Linked DNA regions of Cricetulus griseus. The protein of the gene in region 1 purifies or fractionates together with the protein of each later gene. This does not show direct contact. Links are inferred from orthologs where the notes say so. Each region holds a gene or a part of one and is shown on either strand. Other genes may lie near its edges.

What was found.
Region 2: the proteins of Abl2 (region 1) and Rin1 purify together in Homo sapiens (co-immunoprecipitation; 3 studies listed by BioGRID and IntAct, counting the BioPlex papers as one, with this or other methods). This does not show direct contact. The link is inferred for Cricetulus griseus from reciprocal best matches to the Homo sapiens genes ABL2 and RIN1.

Annotation. Positions count from the first base shown.
Region 1 is NC_048598.1:35,227,467-35,231,275, reverse strand, and holds part of Abl2 (tyrosine-protein kinase ABL2), read left to right. Parts: intron 1-2,727; coding exon 2,728-3,000; intron 3,001-3,809. UniProt on the Homo sapiens protein: Non-receptor tyrosine-protein kinase that plays an ABL1-overlapping role in key processes linked to cell growth and survival such as cytoskeleton remodeling in response to extracellular stimuli, cell motility and adhesion and receptor endocytosis.
Region 2 is NC_048596.1:54,234,381-54,238,676, reverse strand, and holds the start of Rin1 (ras and Rab interactor 1), read left to right. Parts: upstream 1-1,393; 5' UTR 1,394-1,396; coding exon 1,397-1,551; intron 1,552-1,698; coding exon 1,699-1,879; intron 1,880-1,978; coding exon 1,979-2,093; intron 2,094-2,181; coding exon 2,182-2,254; intron 2,255-2,344; coding exon 2,345-2,436; intron 2,437-2,568; coding exon 2,569-3,309; intron 3,310-3,544; coding exon 3,545-3,850; intron 3,851-4,147; coding exon 4,148-4,296. Other genes in the region: Brms1 (breast cancer metastasis-suppressor 1), read left to right, coding at 119-126. UniProt on the Homo sapiens protein: Ras effector protein, which may serve as an inhibitory modulator of neuronal plasticity in aversive memory formation. Can affect Ras signaling at different levels. First, by competing with RAF1 protein for binding to activated Ras.

The DNA.
Region 1 (3,809 bases):
CATAGACAAAACACTCATACACATGCAATAATAAAGTAATAGTAATTAAACTTTAAAACAAAAATGGAACATAAATTATAAGGCCTGAACTTACATCAGTTTTGTGGCCTGAACTTTCGTTGTTCTATTGAATTAGGTTGAACCCCCTTTCTCCCTCTATGTGACATACACATAGCAGAGAAGCGTGGGCCTTGAGCAAACAAGACTGCTTTGCCCTGTAAGTGCATTATTTATTAACTTTGTGACTTTATCTAAGTCTCAGTTTGCCTGGTGTTGTGGTGATAGTGATTTAGACAGGGTCTCTCCGTGTACCACCACATGGACTAGAATTTGCCATGTAGACCATGCTGAATTTGAGCTTGTAGCAGCCATCCTGCCTCTGTCTTCAGAGTGCTGGGATTGTGGGTGTGCACCACACCTGCTTTCCTCTGTCTACTATTACTTTTTCAATTTCATTTACTTTTGAATTTTTTTAATGACACATAATGTGTCGTATGTCCGAGTGTGGATGAGTTTGTGCATGTGGGTGCAACGCCCGTCCAGGCCAGCAGAGACCTTCAGAAGAGGCATGGGTGCTGGAGACTAAACTCCAATCCTCTTCAAGAGTAGTGTGCACTTTGACCACTAAGCTGTCACTTATGTCTTCTCCTTGTCTGTTGTTAAACCCTATTTTGTAGAATTATTTTAAGGATTAAGTGAAGCAATTTTTGTAAAGTTTAATAGCTGATACCAGTTTTCTTTCTCTTTCTGTACCATTATACAAGCATAGTGTATTTAGTCTGTGGCCCAAGTGAATGGAATCAGTTTGTAATGTAACAAGAGATCCAGCAGTTATTAGTTGTTTGCTTTTGTTTGTCTCTGTGACAAATACCAGAGAGAAACAGTTAGCAAACATTTATTTTGACTCATGTTTCAAAAAGTTCAGTCTGTTTCCAGCGGCTGTTCATCTCATAGCTACCAGAAAGGGAGCAGAGAGAAGCTTACTGATTGGACCCCCAGATGCAGATCAGCCAGGCCTTCAGAAATGATTACACATATGTGCCAGATTCATGCAAGAACATTGATTCACAGCCACTGTGTTTATGATAACACCAAACTAGAAGTCCTAAGCAGTGTAATTGATTAATAAATTATGGTATAGTGTTAAAATAGAATATCCTACAGAAACGGAAATTAACATGATGTTCTGTACACAAGTCCATAGGAAGCTGTGGCCTACTAGCTACCATATCATCGTGTTATTTGTTTCTGTAGTATCTGAAGCTACTTTCTATTTCTAAGCAGATCTGAGTAGTTGCTTCAGAGACCCTATATTGCCACAAGGCCAGTATACCTGTTTTCCATCCCTTTACAGAGAATTTTTCTGGCCTCTGTCATAGATGAATTTCATACACATAAAGCTGATTGACAGAGTACTATTTGCCAGAGGATTGTGTGGAGAGGATCGCTCATTGCTATGGGTTTTCTGTGGTGAATGATAAAAGTATTTCCATGGAGTTGAATAGTGGTGGTTGATCAGCAAGCCTTGTAAATGTACTGGAAGCGATGGGTTGGTAATCTATAAAATACTGAATTTTATAGCATGTGAATAATAGTTTAACAAAGAGAATAGAAAGCAGGCACTATTAACACATACTGTGTAATTTCCTATGCATGCAATTCAGACAGAGCTAGTCCCACATGCTGGAATTGTACATAATGGAAACCTTTGCAGGAGTGAACAGCTAGCGGGGTGCTAGTGATGTCACAGTGCTCTTGGTATATGGGTGATGTTTACTGGAGTTTATTTTGTGAAAGACCACTAAGTCTCTATTTACGAATTATGTAAATTTTTATGTACAATAAAACAACTTTTTGTTTGTTTTGAACAGTGGTTTATTGTTTGTTTAAACATGATGGCACATACCCTAATCCCAGCACTCATGAAGCTGAAGCAAGAAAATCACAAGTTTGAGACCAGACTGGATTATATAGAGGGATGTAAATTAATAGTTAATTAAAAACAAACAAATCATACTCCCTTAGAAGATAAAGCCAGCCTGACAGTGGTGGCACATGCTTTTAATCCCAGCACTTGGGAGGCAGAGGCAGGCAGGTCTCTGAGTTCAAGGCCAACCTGGTCTACAGAGCAAGTTCCAGGACAGCCAGAGCTACATTGAGAAGCCCTATCTCCAGAGTCTTCTGAGTGCTGAATTAGACATTCTGTAGGCTTGCTGCTTAGAAATATTCTGAGGACTAGGTTCCCTGATGTCTGTGCAGCTGTGTTGTATGTTCTCCTTCAAGGCTAGTTTAGAAAGAAGAGGAAGGATGCTTACATTGAGATTAAGCTATCTCCCTTGCCCTGAGCATTGACACTTACTTTGCCTTAATTGCAGTAACCTCCTGGAGCACTAGCAGCACTAGCATACACCACCTGTAATCCCTGTGCCTTGTAGGTGGAAGCAGAAGCATCGGGTACTCAAGGCTGGCCAGGGCTACATAATGGAGACCCTGTCTCAAAACAAAACAACAGGTCAGGCACAGTGGTGCACACCCTTAATTTGAGCTCTCTGGAGTCAGAGGCAGGTGGATCTCTTTGAGTTCAAGGACAATCAGGGCTACATAGTTGAGACCCTGTCTCAGAAAACAAACCAATGTCTTCATATCTTCATGTCTCTAGGTGGGTGAATCGTATGCTTTTAAAAGTAAACCCCTTCTCTGGTGTTGCTGAGTCTCCTTTCTCACCAGGTGTACGTGACTGCTGAGAGCCGCTTTAGCACCCTGGCAGAGCTTGTCCACCACCACTCTACAGTGGCCGATGGGCTAGTGACCACACTACATTACCCAGCACCCAAGTGTAATAAACCGACCGTCTATGGTGTGTCCCCCATCCATGACAAATGGGAAATGGAGCGAACAGATATTACCATGAAGCACAAACTTGGGGGTGGTCAGTATGGAGAGGTTTATGTTGGCGTCTGGAAGAAATACAGCCTTACGGTTGCTGTGAAAACACTGAAGGTGGGTTGCTGAGTGCTAAGTTCCCAGGCATGTCTCTGTGTGTGTGTGAATCACTTGGAAAGATCCCTGTGCCCTTCTTCAACTTTGGAACACTTTCCACCCACTGGTGCCAAACACTTCAACAAATTGTGGTGATTAACCCTAGTGCTGTTGCTGACAGTGCAGGGGCAGATTATTCTCAGCAGTACAGCCCACGTGTGGGGAAGGCTCATCTCTGGAGGCTGTTGGTATAGATCATAGTGGAGATTTAGAAGGAAATTATAAGTTCTGCCGAGAACAACCCCCGCTGAACAGAATGCTCCAGGCGGTCTACGAATAAGCTCCCTATTTTGGTCTCTATCCCCCCTGCCTTTTGTTTCTCCCTTCTGCCTCCTTGCAGTTAAGAGACACCCTTTTTAGTTAAAGTGAAAATGACAGGGGGTCACTAAGTAGTCCAGGTTGGCCTTCAAGTCATGATTCTCCTGCCTCAGCCTCCAAGTGCTGAGCTTACAGGTATGTACTACCACACCCTGCTAGATAGATCACTTCTTGTTTTTAAATTCATAAAAGTCCTTTTCCTGATCCTACTGTCCCTTTGAGTGTCATGGTATAAAATCATAGATTGTCAGTAATTCATATGAGATGTTCTCATGGGTAGTAGTCAGCCCTGTTTACATATTCTGAATGTGAAGGAAGCAGTGAGGCCTTGCACATGTGCTTTGTTCTTTAAGAAACATAGGATTGGGGCTGGAGAGATGGCTCAGAGGTTAAGAGCATTGGCTGCTCTTCCAGAGGTCCTGAGTTCAATTCCCAGCAACCACATGGTGACT
Region 2 (4,296 bases), on another chromosome or scaffold:
AGAGGGCAGGGAAAGGAAGCCCTGTGGGTGAGGGGAGTATGGTGTTTCCCCAGGGCCTCAGGCAGTGGTTGTTCTCTTTGATTCACCTTCCTTGTAGTGATTTTCCCATTGCCCCTAGGACCCTGACACTGCATTTCCACTCAGAGGGTCCTTGGAGCAGCTGGCACCACACACAGGACTAACATTTTTCTGCAAAGGCAGGGGGTTGCCTGGTAGTCCTCCAGTGTTACTGCTGTCCCCTGACCAACACTGGCCTGGGCTCCTCTGCTCTCCTTGGGATCTGCATAGCCGTGACCCTGAAGCTGACCTGGCCAAGCAAGACTCCGTTCCTGCCCCCCCCCCAAGAGTAACTTCCTTTATTGTCCCCCCAATAAAGATAGGCTTCATATGACAGCAGCAGCCCTCCCCACTGAGCCAGGAGCTGGGGAACTCTTGAGCCAGAAACATGTTGGGGTCTTGCCCCTCCTAGCTATCGCTGGAGATGGCATCTTCCCAGACTTTCTCAGGGCCATTCCTGGTGTCTGCCTCCCAGATTCTAAAGACTGGAATAAAACTCATCCTTGGACCTTGACCAGTGTGTGTCTGCTGTTCTCTTAAAAGGAATCAAGGCTTTATGGGGAACACCTGGGACAGACTCTTCTGGGGTCCCTGTTGTTCAGAACATTGTGACTTAGAAACGAGCCTGGGCCCAGAGCTGGAGTCTACACGTGGTGTGGCCCAGGCAAACAAATGAAGCACATGGCCTTGGATGAAGGCATGCCTGGAGGCCAGGTCATGTCTGCACCTGCCCCAGTCACTTGGCAGATTGGCAGGCAGGCTGGCAGGGCCTGTGTGTGGGAGGCAGCTAGCAGCAGCACCATGTGCTGACAACCTCACAGCCACACTCTCCCCTGGTTAGCATGAGTGTCAGAACCACCCCCAGAACCTCAGTTAAGCAAAGGGTTTAGTTTCCATGGAGACACAGCATCCTTTCTCCATAGCAACCTGAAATCACAAAACCCAAGTTAGGTTCAGGAATGAGTCATCTGTGACCAGTAGGGGGTGCTCTCCCACAAGGGTGACCCCCTCCAAGGCAGAAGCAGATGAGCAAGTGACCACAGACTTCTTGAGGTGACACAGGGGTGAGACTTGGGCCTGTGGGAACTTGGTCTGCCCTGTTTAACTCCTCCCTACCCAGCTGCATAGTGTGAGGTTCTATATGAGGAAACGCTGTGTGGAGGTGGTCCTCCCACAGCTGAGGCCCTAATAGTGACACTAACATAAAGGGGGCCCCTGCCATTCAAGGCTGGGCCCAGAATAGAAGTGGACACTGGCCACATGGAGTGGACATACAAGAGTTAACTGGCGGGGCGTGACAGGGTGAACCGCCTTCAGGAAGTGTTACTCACCGCTAGGAATGTGCCCGCCTGTGCCTTGGGGGTTGGATTCTCTTCCTGAGTCCCAGGAGAAGCTGAAGGAGCTCCTAGCCATGGAAGACCCTGGGGATACAGAAGCACACCCTTTGGGAACTGCCAACCTAAACTTTGTTCCTGGGCACCAACAGAAAGAAAAGTTAGTGAAGTTGGGAGGGCAACTGGGTGCAGGGGGTGAGGGCAGTGACAGGAAGGTCTGGCAAAGACAGATGGATAGGTGGGAAGCCCAGGACGGGGAAGAGGTGCTTGCCCAGACCCCTGCTCAGGTCTGCGTGTCTGCCCCCAGTCCATCTCCAGACCCTCTGTATGACACGCCTGACGCCAGCAGGGCACAGGCAGGCGGGGCCCAACAACCAGCACGCACCGTGAGTCTGCGGGAACGGCTGCTCATCACCCGGCCGGTGTGGTTACAGTTGCGGGCCAACGCTGCAGCCGCACTACACGTGTTGAGGACAGAGCCTCCAGGGGTGAGTCTTTTCCCTTCCTCCAGGACTGGCTCACCAAGGGTGGGAGAGAAAGGGCCTGGACATGGAGGCATTGAGCCTCCTAATCCTATTCACTTGCAGACCTTCCTGGTACGGAAATCTAACACTCGCCAGTGCCGGGCTCTGTGTGTGCGGCTGCCAGAAGCCAGTGGCCCCTCTTTTGTCTCCAGCCACTATATCCAAGAGAGCCCTGGTGGTGAGGGGGCTGGCCTGGCGGGAAGGGGCTGGAGACAGGCTGGGGAGGGAGGTCCCCAGAGAACAGCCTCACTCCCAGTGTCTCTCAGGCATCTCTTTGGAGGGTTCAGAGCTCGTATTCCAGGACCTGGTTCAGCTCATCTGTGCATACTGCCATACCAGGTGAGTCTGCCTACCTGCCGGGTACCTGATGACCACACGCCCTGCACCTGAATACCACTTGCTCTTGACTGCTCCTTGTTATGACCTTAGGGACATTCTTCTCCTCCCACTCCGGCTCCCCAGAGCCATTCATCAGGCAACCACCCACAAGGAGCTGGAGGCGATCTCCCATTTGGGCATGGGTAAGCGTTCCTTGCAGCCCATTGTACAGACGGAAACATAGACCAAATGGGGAAGAAAGGGCAACCAAGTTCTTTCTTTGTGGGCACCCTCCAGAGCCAGCTCTGAGGCTCCCATTGGTTTCTTTTTGCCAGAGTTCTGGAGTTCCTCCCTTAACACCAAGGTTCAGCAGAGGCCTTGTGAAGCCCCACCGATACCCAGGCTGAAGGCTCGCTCCCCTCAAGAGCTGGATCAGGGCACTGGTGCAGCCCTCTGCTTCTTCAACCCCCTCTTCCCAGGGGATCTGGGCCCCACCAAACGAGAGAAATTCAAGAGGAGTTTTAAAGTGCGTGTGTCCACAGAGACCTCCAGCCCTCTGTCTCCACCTGCTGTGCCGCCTCCCCCAGTCCCAGTGCTGCCAGGGACTTCTTCCAGCCAAACAGCAAGATTGCCTCCTCGACAGCTGCTGGAGAGGGAGAGTTCAATGGGGTATCGGGTGCCAGGGAGTGCTTCCGGCCAGAGTCTTCCTCCCCTACCTTCACTTCAGGAGGCCGACTGCTGCTCCCCCAGCAGCTCAGAGGAGGAGGGTTCTCCCCGAAGCCCTACCACCTCCCCGCGCCTGGGCCGCCCAAGGCAGCGGCCGCCTTTGCTTCGGTCCATGAGTTCTGCTTTCTGCTCTCTGCTGGCACCGGAGAGGCAGGTGGGCCGGGCAGCCACAACGCTAATGCAGAACCGATACACAGCTGTGGGTCAGCTAGTGCAGGACCTACTGACCCAGGTTCGGGCTGGTCCGGAGCCCCGGGAGTTGCAGGGCATCCGCCAGGCCCTAAGCCGGGCCCGGGCCATGCTGAGTGCAGAGCTGGGCCCTGAGAAGCTGCTACCACCGGAGAGGCTGGGTAAGGCCCCAGCCCTGGCCTCCACAGGTTCAGTTCCTGGCTCTCCACCCTCCCTCACCCACCTCTCTCCTTGCCTTGGTGCCTAATGATGGACTCCTGGTTTCCTTACACCCCACTTCCCCCCACTACTTTTGCAGTGAATTCCATGCCCCACCCCTCTCCTACCTCCTGTCTTGACCAGGGCCTCCTGCTCTTCCAGGCCCCTTCCCCCTGACTGTCTACTCTCCTCTGGCAGAACTGGTTCTGGAGAAGTCCTTGCATCGCTCTGTTCTCAAGCCTCTTCGACCTATCCTAGTTGCCCGCCTGCGGCGGCGTCTTTCCGCAGATGGTTCCCTTGGCCGCCTAGCTGAGGGCTTCCACCTGGCCCGGACCCAGGGACCTGGAGCCCTCGGGTCCCACCTGCCCCTCTCCTACCCAGTGGAGACGGAACAGGTGCGCCAGAAACTGCTTCAGTTGCTTGGCACCTATTCACCTACTGCCCAGATCAAGTGGCTCCTGCAGGCCTGCAAGTTGCTCTACACAGCCCTGAAAACCCAGGCGGGTATGACCCTCACCACCTTCCCCTGCTCCAGCTCTTTCTGAGTAGAGACTGAACCCCCTCTCTCAGGGAGAAGGTCCCAGGCCCCCAGAACTGCAAAAGGGCAGAAGGATCCAACCCTCCCGTCTCAGGGGTTCTAGAGAGAGGAGTGTCTTTCTTCCCTGTGGTTGCCATGACAGTCCGGTCCTGTCTAGGGGGTCTAGCAGGTGGTGGGAGGAGTCACTGTCTAGAACAGGGGTTAGACCCTAGCCTTTGGGCCTCTGAGGAGGCTGGAACGCCTTCCTTCCCATTTTTCCACAGGGGAGGATGCAGGCGCTGATGAGTTCCTGCCTCTGCTGAGCCTTGTCTTGGCTCAGTGCGACCTTCCTGACCTTCTGTTAGAAGCTGAGTACATGTCGGAGCTACTGGAACCTACCCTGCTCACCGGAGAGGGTGAGGGCACCCTCACT